3 linked regions of the Struthio camelus genome follow. The protein of the gene in region 1 purifies or fractionates together with the protein of each later gene. This does not show direct contact. Links are inferred from orthologs where the notes say so. Each region holds a gene or a part of one and is shown on either strand. Other genes may lie near its edges.

What was found. Proteins that work in one complex are often made in the same cells at the same time.
Region 2: the proteins of SSRP1 (region 1) and CHD4 purify together in Homo sapiens (affinity purification with mass spectrometry; 3 studies listed by BioGRID and IntAct, with this or other methods). This does not show direct contact. The link is inferred for Struthio camelus from reciprocal best matches to the Homo sapiens genes SSRP1 and CHD4.
Region 3: the proteins of SSRP1 (region 1) and CSNK2A2 purify together in Homo sapiens (affinity purification with western blotting; 3 studies listed by BioGRID and IntAct, with this or other methods). This does not show direct contact. The link is inferred for Struthio camelus from reciprocal best matches to the Homo sapiens genes SSRP1 and CSNK2A2.

What each region holds. Positions count from the first base shown.
Region 1 is NC_090946.1:7,555,163-7,558,900, reverse strand, and holds the start of SSRP1 (FACT complex subunit SSRP1), read right to left. Parts: upstream 2,604-3,738; 5' UTR 2,520-2,603; intron 1,710-2,519; 5' UTR 1,567-1,709; coding exon 1,513-1,566; intron 845-1,512; coding exon 659-844; intron 274-658; coding exon 168-273; intron 1-167. UniProt on the Homo sapiens protein: Component of the FACT complex, a general chromatin factor that acts to reorganize nucleosomes. The FACT complex is involved in multiple processes that require DNA as a template such as mRNA elongation, DNA replication and DNA repair.
Region 2 is NC_090942.1:90,899,367-90,903,104, reverse strand, and holds the start of CHD4 (chromodomain-helicase-DNA-binding protein 4), read right to left. Parts: upstream 2,882-3,738; 5' UTR 2,613-2,881; intron 1,723-2,612; 5' UTR 1,639-1,722; intron 562-1,638; 5' UTR 500-561; coding exon 403-499; intron 1-402. UniProt on the Homo sapiens protein: ATP-dependent chromatin-remodeling factor that binds and distorts nucleosomal DNA. Acts as a component of the histone deacetylase NuRD complex which participates in the remodeling of chromatin.
Region 3 is NC_090951.1:30,371,316-30,375,053, reverse strand, and holds the start of CSNK2A2 (casein kinase II subunit alpha'), read left to right. Parts: upstream 1-1,317; 5' UTR 1,318-1,396; coding exon 1,397-1,500; intron 1,501-1,810; coding exon 1,811-1,922; intron 1,923-3,738.

The sequences.
Region 1 (3,738 bases):
GTACTGCGCGAACAACCGTGCTGGTGGAACGGGAAACTGTCCCCAGCTACTGGATACCGCCCTAGCTCCACCACCTTGGCATGGGAGGTCCTGTCTGCACCCAGCACAGATCCCCTTTCTGCAGTAGCCCAGAGTCACTGGGCTGTTCCTAGCTCGCCACAACTCACCTCCAAACCTCACCGTCCCCCAGTTCCAACCCTTCACGCACAGGTCCTTCTCCGCCAGTTCCAGGCGGTAGTGGGCCTTGAAGAAATCTGAGAGCTTGTCAAACTCCTGGGCCAGGGTGAGAAGCAGGAAAAAAACAGTGAGTGTCTGTCAGAAGCTACCAGGTGCTCATGGGCACTGCCCAGAACGCATAACCAGGACAGAGTCCCACACACAAAAGGAGGAGCAAGAAAAACAGGGGTCAGAGTTGTTCTTAAGAGGAAGGAGATTGGCACTGCAAGGCTCACAAGCAGCAAAGCTAGATACGGAACAAGCAAAGAGGCTGCAGAACAAGCCCACAAGAAAAGGGACAGTTTTAGGGAAGAGAAAAAAAAAAAGCGCACTCCATGTTTTGAAGGGCTTGTGCAGTGCATGTGTGGGCATGCACGCAGCACGGCTCAGCCATCAGTCAGAGACAAGGAGAGGTCAGAGACAACGGGGCTTGGGGGCTCACCGATTCCCGGAAACCATCGTATTTGTAGACGTGGCCGTTCTTGGTGAGCAGCTTGAGGCCGTGACCGAGCGCCACGCGTCGCCACACGCCCTCCGCCAGCTCCGACGCCTGGATGTTGTCCACCTTCCCCGTCTTGCTGTTCTTGAAGATCACGCCCTGGCGGCTCAGGCGCAGCCGACCATCGTTCTGACGGGAGAGGCGGGCGTGAGGCGGGGCACAGCTCACCCCGCACTCACACCCGCGGAGAGGGGGGCAGCCCAAGGGAGACACAGCCCTCAGGCCCTGGAGCAGGGAACTGCCTCCCTTGGCACGGAACAGACGGCTGCCCAATCCTTCTAGGTGAAACAAGAGGACTCCCTTCAACACCTCCCCGGCTTTAGTCCTCCACGTGCTCTTTGCACGGGTTAATGTACAACGCGCACGCCTCTCAAAGTAGCTACAGCATTTACCAGTGGCACCCCTGCTCCTGGAAGCGTTCCCAACCACAACCTCGCTAGCTGCACAACAGGCAGGCGCTAAAAGCCCCTATTGATGGGGGCTCCAAAACACTTCAGCCCTGGAAACGAGGCGCCGCCGCTCTGGTTTCCGGTCGAGATCCGCCAAGCGCTCTCTGCCAGGACAAGGCAGCGAAAGAGACGTAGGGGCCCACACCCCAGTGCACAGCGAAGCGCCTGAAGCGTTTGAAGCGTTACATCTACGAGGCCACATCTCGCATTGACGTGTCACCTGCTCGTCTCCGGCCCCAGAGACGCAGCAAGCAACGCAAAGCTTTGGCGAGCGTGTGGCCCTGCAAGACACTCCTGCCACAACCGCAGGGAGCCCTTCCCGGGCAGACTGCTGCCCAGCGCTCTCACCATGGATCCCTTGACCTCCTGGTATATCTCGTTGAACTCCAGCGTGTCGGCCATGGCGGCTTCGGGGCCGAGAAAGCTGCGGCGCCTGGATTTTCAGAGAGGGAGGACGCCGAGAACAGCGAGTCTTTCACTTCCCTCCTCAGCCCGGCATGCCCTGGTCGGGTGGCAGGCGAGGACAACGTCTGAACAACGAAGCGCTGGGGGAGGAGAAGAGGGTGAGCAGAGCACGGCAAGGAGACACCTTGAGTTCGAACCCCTCGGGACAAGAAAGGCTCCTCTGCCGAGGAGAAGCTCACGCGGTCCAGACAGACGGGAGCACAGAGAGCCGAAAAGCTGAGGAACGAGGCTCGCTCCCGGCACCCCCACCCCCAGAGCTGTCCCTCTCCACCTGCTCCCGCCCCCCAACCCCAGCTAGCCTTGCCTACACCCCCGCGTCCGACCCCCCGGTCCCTGGGCAAGCTGCCTGACCCATTTTGGGGGGGGGGGGGGGGACGCACAGTCCAGCGGGAGCTGCCACGGGGCGACCGGACAACCCCCCAACTCTCCTGGCCTGTTCTCCCTTCCCCCAGCACCCGCCAACACCTCTGAAGCTCCCTCCAAGCCGCCCGAGCCCCCGCCAGCCCTTCCGGCCCCAAACTCCCACCCCCTCGCCCCCCCGCGGGCCTTCCCCTGCCCCTCCCTCCGTCCCCTGCCACCCCAAACCGCCTCCCTCTGCCCCGCGCCCCAAAATGCCCCAGAGGCACAACCCTGCCCTCAGGTTCCCCCCCCCCCCAAAAAACCTTCCCCTCCCACCCGCCTCCCGGGCCCCCCGTACCCCCCCCGGGCCCCTCCCCCCCACCGAGCTCCGCCGCCCCTAGCCCCCCCCCCCACCCCCAGACCCGCCTCCCGGGCCCCCCAACCCCCGTACCCCCCCCAAGGCCCCTGCCCCCCCCATCCCGGCCCCTTGTCCCCCCCCCCCCCCCCCCCCCCCGCACCGCGGCCACTTTTCCCGCCTGCGCAACACGAACCTCGCGCGGAGCCTCCTCCTCCTCCCCCCCCCCCCGCCAGCCGCCGCCGCCGCCGCCGCCGGAACCAGCCCCCACTTCCGCCATAGAGAGGCGCGGCGGCGCGGCCGCTCTAGGCGCCACCGTCGGGGCGGGGGAGGACCTCGCGCTGCCCGCGCGGGCCGGGACCATGGACAGCGCGGAGGACTGCGGCTAGAGAGGACGGGGCGCCCCCGCGCCTTTCCTCGCCGCCCCCCGCCATAGAGATGTCGGGGAGGCGGGGGCTAGACTAGCCGCTCCCTGCGGCCTCACCTGCGGCGCTCCCTCACCTGCCACCATAGAGAGCGGGCGGACTCCGGCAGGGCGGGGGCGCCGCTGCCGGGCGGGCGGGCGGGCAGCCCTGCCCCCATTGGCTGGCGGCGGGGGGTCAGCCCCGTGACGTCACCGCGGCGGCCGGGGGGGTGGTGACGTCAGTACGGGGCACCACACCCCCCAAAGGCCCCCCCCACAGGGGCCCCCCCAACACGGGACCCCCAAAACGGGACCCCCCCCACACACAGGGGCACCCCGAAAACGGGACCCCCAAAACGAGCCCCCCCCAGAGAGGTACCCCTAAAACGAGACCCCCCCTCCACAGGGACACCCCCAAAACGAGGCACCGCCACAACGAGCCCCTCCCCAAACTCGAGGGGAGGGAGGGGGGGGACAGGTTATCCACACACCCCAAACATGCCTCCCCCCCACCCCCCCACCCCGCTCCCCACAGCCGTACCCGGGCACCCTGCCAGCGCCCCCCCCCGCCTCCTTCCCAGCAGGGCGCCGGGGCGGAGACGGGGAGCCAGAGCAGAGAGATGGACAGACGGACGGACAGACAGACAGACAGACGGACGGACAGATAGACGGACAGACGGACGGACAGACAGACAGACAGACGGACGGACGGACGGACAGACAGACGGACAGACGGACGGCCAGCCAGACGGACGGACGGAGAGATAGACGGACAGACAGACAGACAGACGGACAGACGGACGGACAGACAGACGGACAGACGGACGGACAGACAGACGGACGGACGGAGAGATAGACGGACAGACAGACAGACAGACGGACAGACGGACGGACAGACAGACGGACAGACGGACGGACAGACAGACGGACGGACGGAGAGATAGACGGACAGACAGACAGACAGACGGACAGACAGACGGACGGACAGACGGACGGACAGACGGACGGGACT
Region 2 (3,738 bases), on another chromosome or scaffold:
CAGGTCTGAGTTCCCAGATGAAAGAAAGTCAGACACCCTGCCCTTTCACATACTGCCCCTCTTCCCCCTCCCCATTCATGAAACATGAAACTTGCAGGCATTTCAGTGCCCTGTCAGAATCCACCCCTCTGCCTCCACCCCCTTATACCTCCTCAAAGCACAGGCCCCTGACAACCTGCAATGGCTTGGAACAAAGTCAGCTCCACCTGACTAAAAGCTGTGAGCCTCATTTTGAGCTAATCCTAGCTAGGACTCACATACTGAAAAAAAAAAAAAAAAGCACATGCATGACTCCTAGCAAAGTACAACATTGCCTTGCACATCATCTTCATCTCTCTCACATATTCAGCATGAAAATAGCATCTCCCCAGTTCACACACTCATGCCCCGTAGGCTCTGTACCTTGATGCTGGGAGATAGCGTTGTTCAACAGAATCTCCATGTCATCATCATCACTGCCCCCTGAGCACGGGGATGGAGATCCAATGCCCGATGCCATGTCCTCCAAACTGGTGGAGGCCCAGGCTCATACAAGGTGTCTTCCTGCCAGTCAAGCCAGTACTTTATTGAAAAGGAAAGGAGAAAGTTATAGTGCACCTGAACTCCTGTTTCCCAAGCAATAGTGCTAACAAGGAGATCTGTGAGAAAGCTTGGACGGCAGCTTTACTGGATTTGGAGCCTACAGATAATAGAAACACTGGCAGCAGGTATCAGCTTAAAGTTGTGATGAAGTAGACTCTGAAGACACTAGATAGTAAACTGAGTCAGCGACTCATCCCTTGCAAGGAAGCCAAAACAGCTAGCCTATGGGAAATTTTCCTTTCCCCTGCAATCAGGGGCCAGACCAGAATGCGTGCGCCCTAGGTTATTTCTACTTTGGACTGGGAGAAGGAGAGGCAAGAAGGGGAGGCGGATTTTCCAAAGGAGACCTTGAATCAGGGCGCTGTCAGCGAGCCACACAGCCACCGCGGCGGTCGGGGCTGAGCCCGGGACCGGTACGGCGGACAGCGGCGGAACAAGTGCTGCCGGGAGTCCCCAACTCGCCTGCACAAACTTGGCGCGCCAGCCCCGGGCTGCAGCCACCACGGCCGGAGAGGCAGGCGAGCAGCAGCCTCCCCCTCCTCCTCGGGTCCCTGCAGCCCGCTGCCACCGGGGCGATCGCGCGCCGCGGGCGCGCACAAAAGGCAGGACCGGCTCGGCGGCGCCGGCAGCCCCGCTCCGCTGCCCGCCGCTCCCGCGCCCCCGCCCGGAGCGGGGCTGCGCGGCGCAGGGCGGGGGTGGCAGGCGGGCGGGGGGGGGGGGGAGGGGGGGCAGCGTCGCGGCGGGGCACGGTCGCCCGGGCGGGGGCGCGGGGCGGGGCCGGGGAAGTCCGGCTCGCATGCGGCGAGGGGCCGCTTCTCCCCAGGGACGGGCGCCGGGCCGGGAGCCGAGCGGCTGGCAGCGGCCGGGGCAGCGGGCACCGGCGGGGCGGCTGCTCGCCGGTGCTGTGTCGCCGCGGTCCTGCGGTCGCCCGAGCAGGAGGACAGCGCAGCCCCGAGGGAGCTGCGTCTGGCGGCCCACGGCGCGTAGGGGCGCCCGCAGCCAGAGACACCCCAAGCAGCGGCGGAAAGCTCTACCCGCCCCCTCCCAGCTCCTCACCCGGCTCAAGACCCCAGCTCTGCTCGCTCGCTCGCCGCCGCCGCCGCTGCTGAAGGGAAAATGGCTCCGGCCCCGGCACCGCCTCTTAAAGGGGAAAAAACCCAGCCAGGCCCCGCCCCACTCCCGCCTCCATCCCATAATATGCCCCGGGACCCCAGCAACGGGCCCCGCCCCCGTCTCCCTGGCAACCCCCCCAACTGAGACATCCCATAATACTCGCCCTCCCCTCAGAACTTCCCACTCACTGCCCGGCCCGGCATCCCATAATAATAACCCCTCCCAGCAGGAACATCCCATAATACAACCGTCCCTCCGAGAAACATCCCATAATACTCCCCACACTCTAACCCCTTCACTCAGGCATCCCATAATACTCGTCCCCTACCAGCCCCCCGCGCGCGCCCCCCTCACCCCGCGCCCCCGCTGCCCGGCCTGCCATCCCATAATAGGCACGTCCCCTGGTCGGCCCCCCCCCCGCCTCCCGCACACTGCAATAACCCCCAGCACATCCCATAATAGTCATACCCCAGGCGCACATCCCATAATAGTCACACCCCCACCCCACCCCCCCGCGCTCAGGCAGGCATCCCATAATAGTCGCCGGGAGCCACCGTCCAGCCAGACATCCCATAATACTCCCAGCCACCCTCCCCACCGCGCCGCCGCCGCCCCCAGCCCACCCGCGGCCCCCGCCCCGCCCCGCCCGCCGCCGCCGCCCTCGGGGGCCTTTCCCGCCGCGGGGCCCCGTCCCCTCCGCGCGGCCCCTAACGGCCCCGGGGCGCCCGGCCAGCCGCGCCACTGTAGCGCTCTGGCACCGCCGCCCGGCCCCTGCGTGCCTCCCGGCCACACGGGCTCCACAGGCCCCACGGCGGGCACCACCCTCCCCCTCGGAGGCAGCCGCCGGGGCAGCAACAGGACCCTGGTGCCGGCTGCCACTGCCCCGGCGGGCCCCCTGCGCCCACCGCCCCGCTCACCCCTGAGCGTGGAGGGCAGGCTTCGCTGGTGCTGGGCGGGAGCCGAAGCCAGGCGTCGCCGTCCGCGGGAACCGTGGCCGCCACGCTCACGCTTCTCGCCCGACCCTTGATAGTGGACTACTGAGCGCCCCACCGAGCTCGCTGCGCGCCTGCCCTGGTGCAGCGCTGCTCCCTCTGCCTGTCCGGCGCCCGGCTCTGCAGCACCCAGGAGGTCCTTCCCACGCGCACCCCTGGGTGCCTGGTCATCCCTTCTCTCCATAGGCAGAGGCAGGCATCCCGAGAGAGCCACGTATGGCGTTTGTATCGCGTTTCCACCTCCTCCTTCACGCACCTGCCAGAATCGGGCCCACGGTGCCCCATAGCACGCTGGCACTCTCCGCTCTGTCGCGTGCACCCAACAGCGCTGCGGGCCCCTTCGCGGTACCCACCAGTAGTCCACGGCGCTCTACAGCGCAATCACCAGCCACCATCAGCAGCTTGTGTGTCAATCCCACAGTGACTCCTGTCACCTCCTGACCACACACACAATGCATCCGCCTGTCATAAACGCCGGTACCTTTAAAACTATTCCTACCCCAGGGATACAGAGAAAACCTCCAATATGTGCTGTTCCTCCCTCCTGCTCGAGACATAGCCGTTTTATAGAGCAACACACCGCTCCCTGCTAGTGCCCTCCACCAGCAAACTAATCATCACGTTATATTGACATGAATAGTCCATAAAAATAAATACACCCCAATTATGCACATGCAACAATATCATTAATTTTTCATTACACAAAATCACATGCCATAATATTACCTATCCCCAATTTAGCATCTTTATTAACACTATTAATCTCAATAAAGGCAGATGCACCCTACTGTCCGTCTCACCCAATAAATACACAGGTGTCAAAGATTATACTCATCCCTCTTTAGATAAAAACATTCTACGCTGCCATCCCACTTCTTTTGGTACACATGCCCATTGCGCACAGTGGCACTGGCCCGCTGCTGTAAGACACAGATTCCCAATATATTAGCGGCGGCCTTACTGCTAACATCCATCCTGTAATACAATCTATACTTTGTCATGCAAACCATACCAAAAATATGTCCCTACGTACACTGTATACATAGATATT
Region 3 (3,738 bases), on another chromosome or scaffold:
GCCGGGCGGTGCCGGGGGGTGCGGGGGGTCGGGGCGAGGCAGGGGACGGGGGATGCGAGGGGGGGGCCGGGGGGTGCGGAAGTTGCGGGGGGTCGGGGCGAGGCAGGGGACGGGGGATGCGAGGGGGGGCCGGGGGGTGCGGAAGTTGCGGGGGGTCGGGGCGAGGCAGGGGACGGGGGATGCGAGGGGGGGGCCGGGGGTGCGGGGGGTGCGGGGGGTCGGGGCGAGGCAGGGGACGGGGGATGCGAGGGGGGGGCCGGGGGGTGCGGGGGGTGCGGGGGGTCGGGGCGAGGCAGGGGACGGGGATGCGGGGGGGGGCCGGGGGGTGCGGAAGTTGCGGGGGGTCGGGGCGAGGCAGGGGACGGGGGATGCGAGGGGGGGGCCGGGGGTGCGGGGGGTGCGGGGGGTCGGGGCGAGGCAGGGGACGGGGCTGCGGGGGGGGGGCTGGGGGGGGCCGGGGGGTGCGGGGGTCGGGGCGAGGCAGGGGACGGGGATGCGGGGGGGGGCCGGGGGGTGCGGGGGGGTGCGGGGGTCGGGTCGAGGCAGGGGACGGGGCTGCGGGGGGGGGCCGGGCGGTGCGGGGGGTGCGGGGGGTCGGGGCGAGGCAGGGGACGGGGGATGCGGGGGGGGGGGCCGGGCGGTGCGGGGGGGTGAGGGGGGTCGGGGCGAGGCAGGGGACGGGGCTGCGGGGGGGGGGCCGGGCGGTGCGGGGGGTGCGGGGGTCGGGGCGAGGCAGGGGACGGGGGATGCGGGGGGGGGGGCCGGGCGGTGCGGGGGGGTGCGGGGGGTCGGGGCGAGGCAGGGGACGGGGCTGCGGGGGGGGGGCCGGGCGGTGCGGGGGGGTGCGGGGGTCGGGGCGAGGCAGGGGACGGGGCTGCGGGGGGGGGCCGGGGGCAGCCCCGGGGCCTGCGATGGGCGGGTGTGACCGGGGGCTCGGCGGTCCGCGGCGGGGGCGGTGCGGGGGGGCGGCGCGGCGCGGGGCGGCCGTTGGCGCCGGGCGGCGGCCAGGGCGCGGCGCGTCCTCCGCGCCGCCGGGGGCGCTGCGCGGCGGGCGGCGCGGCGGCGGGGCGGGCGGCCGCCTCTCGCGGCGGGCGGCGCGGCGGCGGCGCGGCTGCATCGGCGCCTTTTCCGGGTTGGCTGCGCCGCGCTCGGGGCCGGCCCAGGCTGCAGCGCCGCCGCCGCCGGGCACCGGCAGCGGCCTCGGGCCTCGCCACAGCTCCGCGCGGGCCCCGCGCCCGCCCGCCTGCCCGCCCCCGGGGCCGGCCCCCGCCCTCCCGGCCTGGCCCTGCCGCCCCCCGCCGCCGCCCTCCTGCGCGCCGCGCCCCGCCTCGCCGGCCTCCCGCGCCGGCCCCGCGCCCTCCTCCTCCTCCTGCAGCCGCCGCCGCCCGGCGCCGCCATGCCCGGCCCGGCCGCCGGCAGCCGGGCGCGGGTGTACGCCGAGGTGAACAGCCTGAGGAGCCGCGAGTACTGGGACTACGAGGCGCACGTCCCGAGCTGGGGGTAAAGCGCCCCGCGGGGACCCCCCTTCCCCGGGCCGCCGCCGGCCCCCTCGCCCGGCCCGCCGGCGGCTGGGGGCGGCCGGCCGCCCCTCCGCCCTGCAGGCCCCTGCCCGAGGGGAGGCGCCCAGCCAGCTCCCCCCCCTCCCCCGCCACTTTTCGGCGTCCCCATGGGTCCTCCCCCGCGGGGAAGCGGGCGGCTGCGGGAATGGCCTGGGGGAGGGGGATCCCCCCTTCCCCCCATCCCAGCCTGGTGCCCTGTCAGTTATTTTCCTCTCCCTCTGCTCTCTTTTATTTTTTTTTGGTGCCTGCAGCAATCAGGATGACTACCAGCTGGTTCGCAAGCTTGGCCGGGGAAAGTACAGTGAGGTCTTCGAGGCCATCAACATCACCAACAACGAGAGGGTAGTTGTGAAGATCCTCAAGGTGAGCGCCTCGCGGGTGGTTGCAGGGGCTCATGGTGGCAGTGGCCCTCGTTTCATTTTTGAGCTGGGAATAAGGAGGAAAGAAGCTGTGCTAGGGCCAAAAGACTGTTAGGTCTTGTCCTGCACCCCAAAACTCTTGTTCTTTGCTTTGTGGACACTTGAGTGCTGGACTGTATTTTGGGAAAGGGATTTAGTGTCCTGTGTGCTGTAGTGATGTTTCAATGTCTCCACCCCTTCTGTGCAGAGTAGCTGGAGCCTGCTCCAGGCCGAGAGCTCCTCGGGAGGAGGAGTGCTGTGAGTCCTGACACTTGAACAGTGTTGCATGTGCTGCCTGCATTTGGTAAATCATATCTGGCAATGTCTGTCTAAAACATTGCAAGGACTGCCATGTCAACAGGAATATGAAGCCCAGGGGGGAATCTTTTTGTTAACCTTTAGACAGCTGGCGTGCGGCGTTTTCAGGGTTCAGGCCGCAGGATGCTCAGCGGTCAGGCTTTAGTAAAGCAAACAAAATCTTAGATTTGGCCCTTTGAAGGATCTGCTCCATGGAAGAGAACTTCACTGTGGTCAGGTCAAAAATACTGTGGAAACTTGAGGAGGCTGAAGCAGACCATTTGACAGTTAGCAGCATTAGTGATATGCCCTGGTGTGTTGATTGTATAGAGGTTGGGGTGTGGGGATCTTCTTGCAAAAGTAACCGGTTGCAGTTTGGAACGACTAAATGCACTGGATTAGCCTCTGTAGGGCACACCTTACTGCGTTTGATGCTGAAGCAGTGTGCTTACAGAGAGGCGTGGTAGCTGTGTTTGCAGAAGTCTGTGATGGTGGTCTGGGGGTGAGGATGGTGGGGGGGAGAATCGAAAAACAGAAACAAAAGGTGCTTTTGGCTTTGGTTTGGCTGATGCTTGTGGCTGTTGTTTGTAGAATCAGCAACGCTTCTTACTTGTTCCTGAAGAGCATGTGGGAGCTAGTTTCTGATCACAGGCATACTAAGAATTTGGGCTCATGTTGATCTGCAGTGTGCAGGGAGGGTTCAGAGCTTGGAAAGTTGTCCTTGCAGCCGCTAAGGCTAGTAACTACGTAGGATACGTGTCTCTGCTCCAGGTCATAGCCTTGAGGCTAGGAGGAGTTCGCTAGATCTGATCTGATAGTGTGGCTAGCTGGCTAGTTTTGTCTTTGCTCCTCTCCCCACTCATCCACTATTCCTGCTTTCTTGGGATCCTTCTTGGTTTCCCAGAGAACTTGTCATAGGCTGCTGGGTCACAGCTCCTAGGCAAGGCATGACTTCCTGTCAGAGGAGTAAACTGTATCCCTGCCTTGACTGTGGCTAGGTGAGCCATTAGGGAGAGCCCCTGTGGCCGAGTCCTGGCATAAAGGCAGAGCAGTGAGGCTTCTGTGTCCTTGCTGAGTTCTTCTGGCATACTGCTCAGGCTTCCCCCTCCTTTAGATGTTTTACATAAGGTGGTGTGGGTTTTCTTTGTTTGTTTGTTTTTTAGGTAGGGGCAGGCAGGAGTTTCTCTTTTGAGAGAGAGTAGTCAGAGGTAGCCAGTGTAGGGTTGTATGTTACAGCAAGATGGCTTGTGGTTAGGCTGAGGAAACTGTGCGCTTCTGTGTGCTGCTCTAGAGCCCCGATGGTCTCTCCAGGAGTGCTATGGTTGGTTGAGACTGTAGATCTTGCCCCACATAAAAAGGTGCCACTAGGCTTCAGGACTGCAGAGAAAGTCTTTGAGAAATCTTCTTCCTTGCCTGTCCCCAGCCTAAAGGGCCTGCCCTGGAGCAATGCTCCTCTCGCTGTGGCAGCTGAGCTCTGTCGTCTT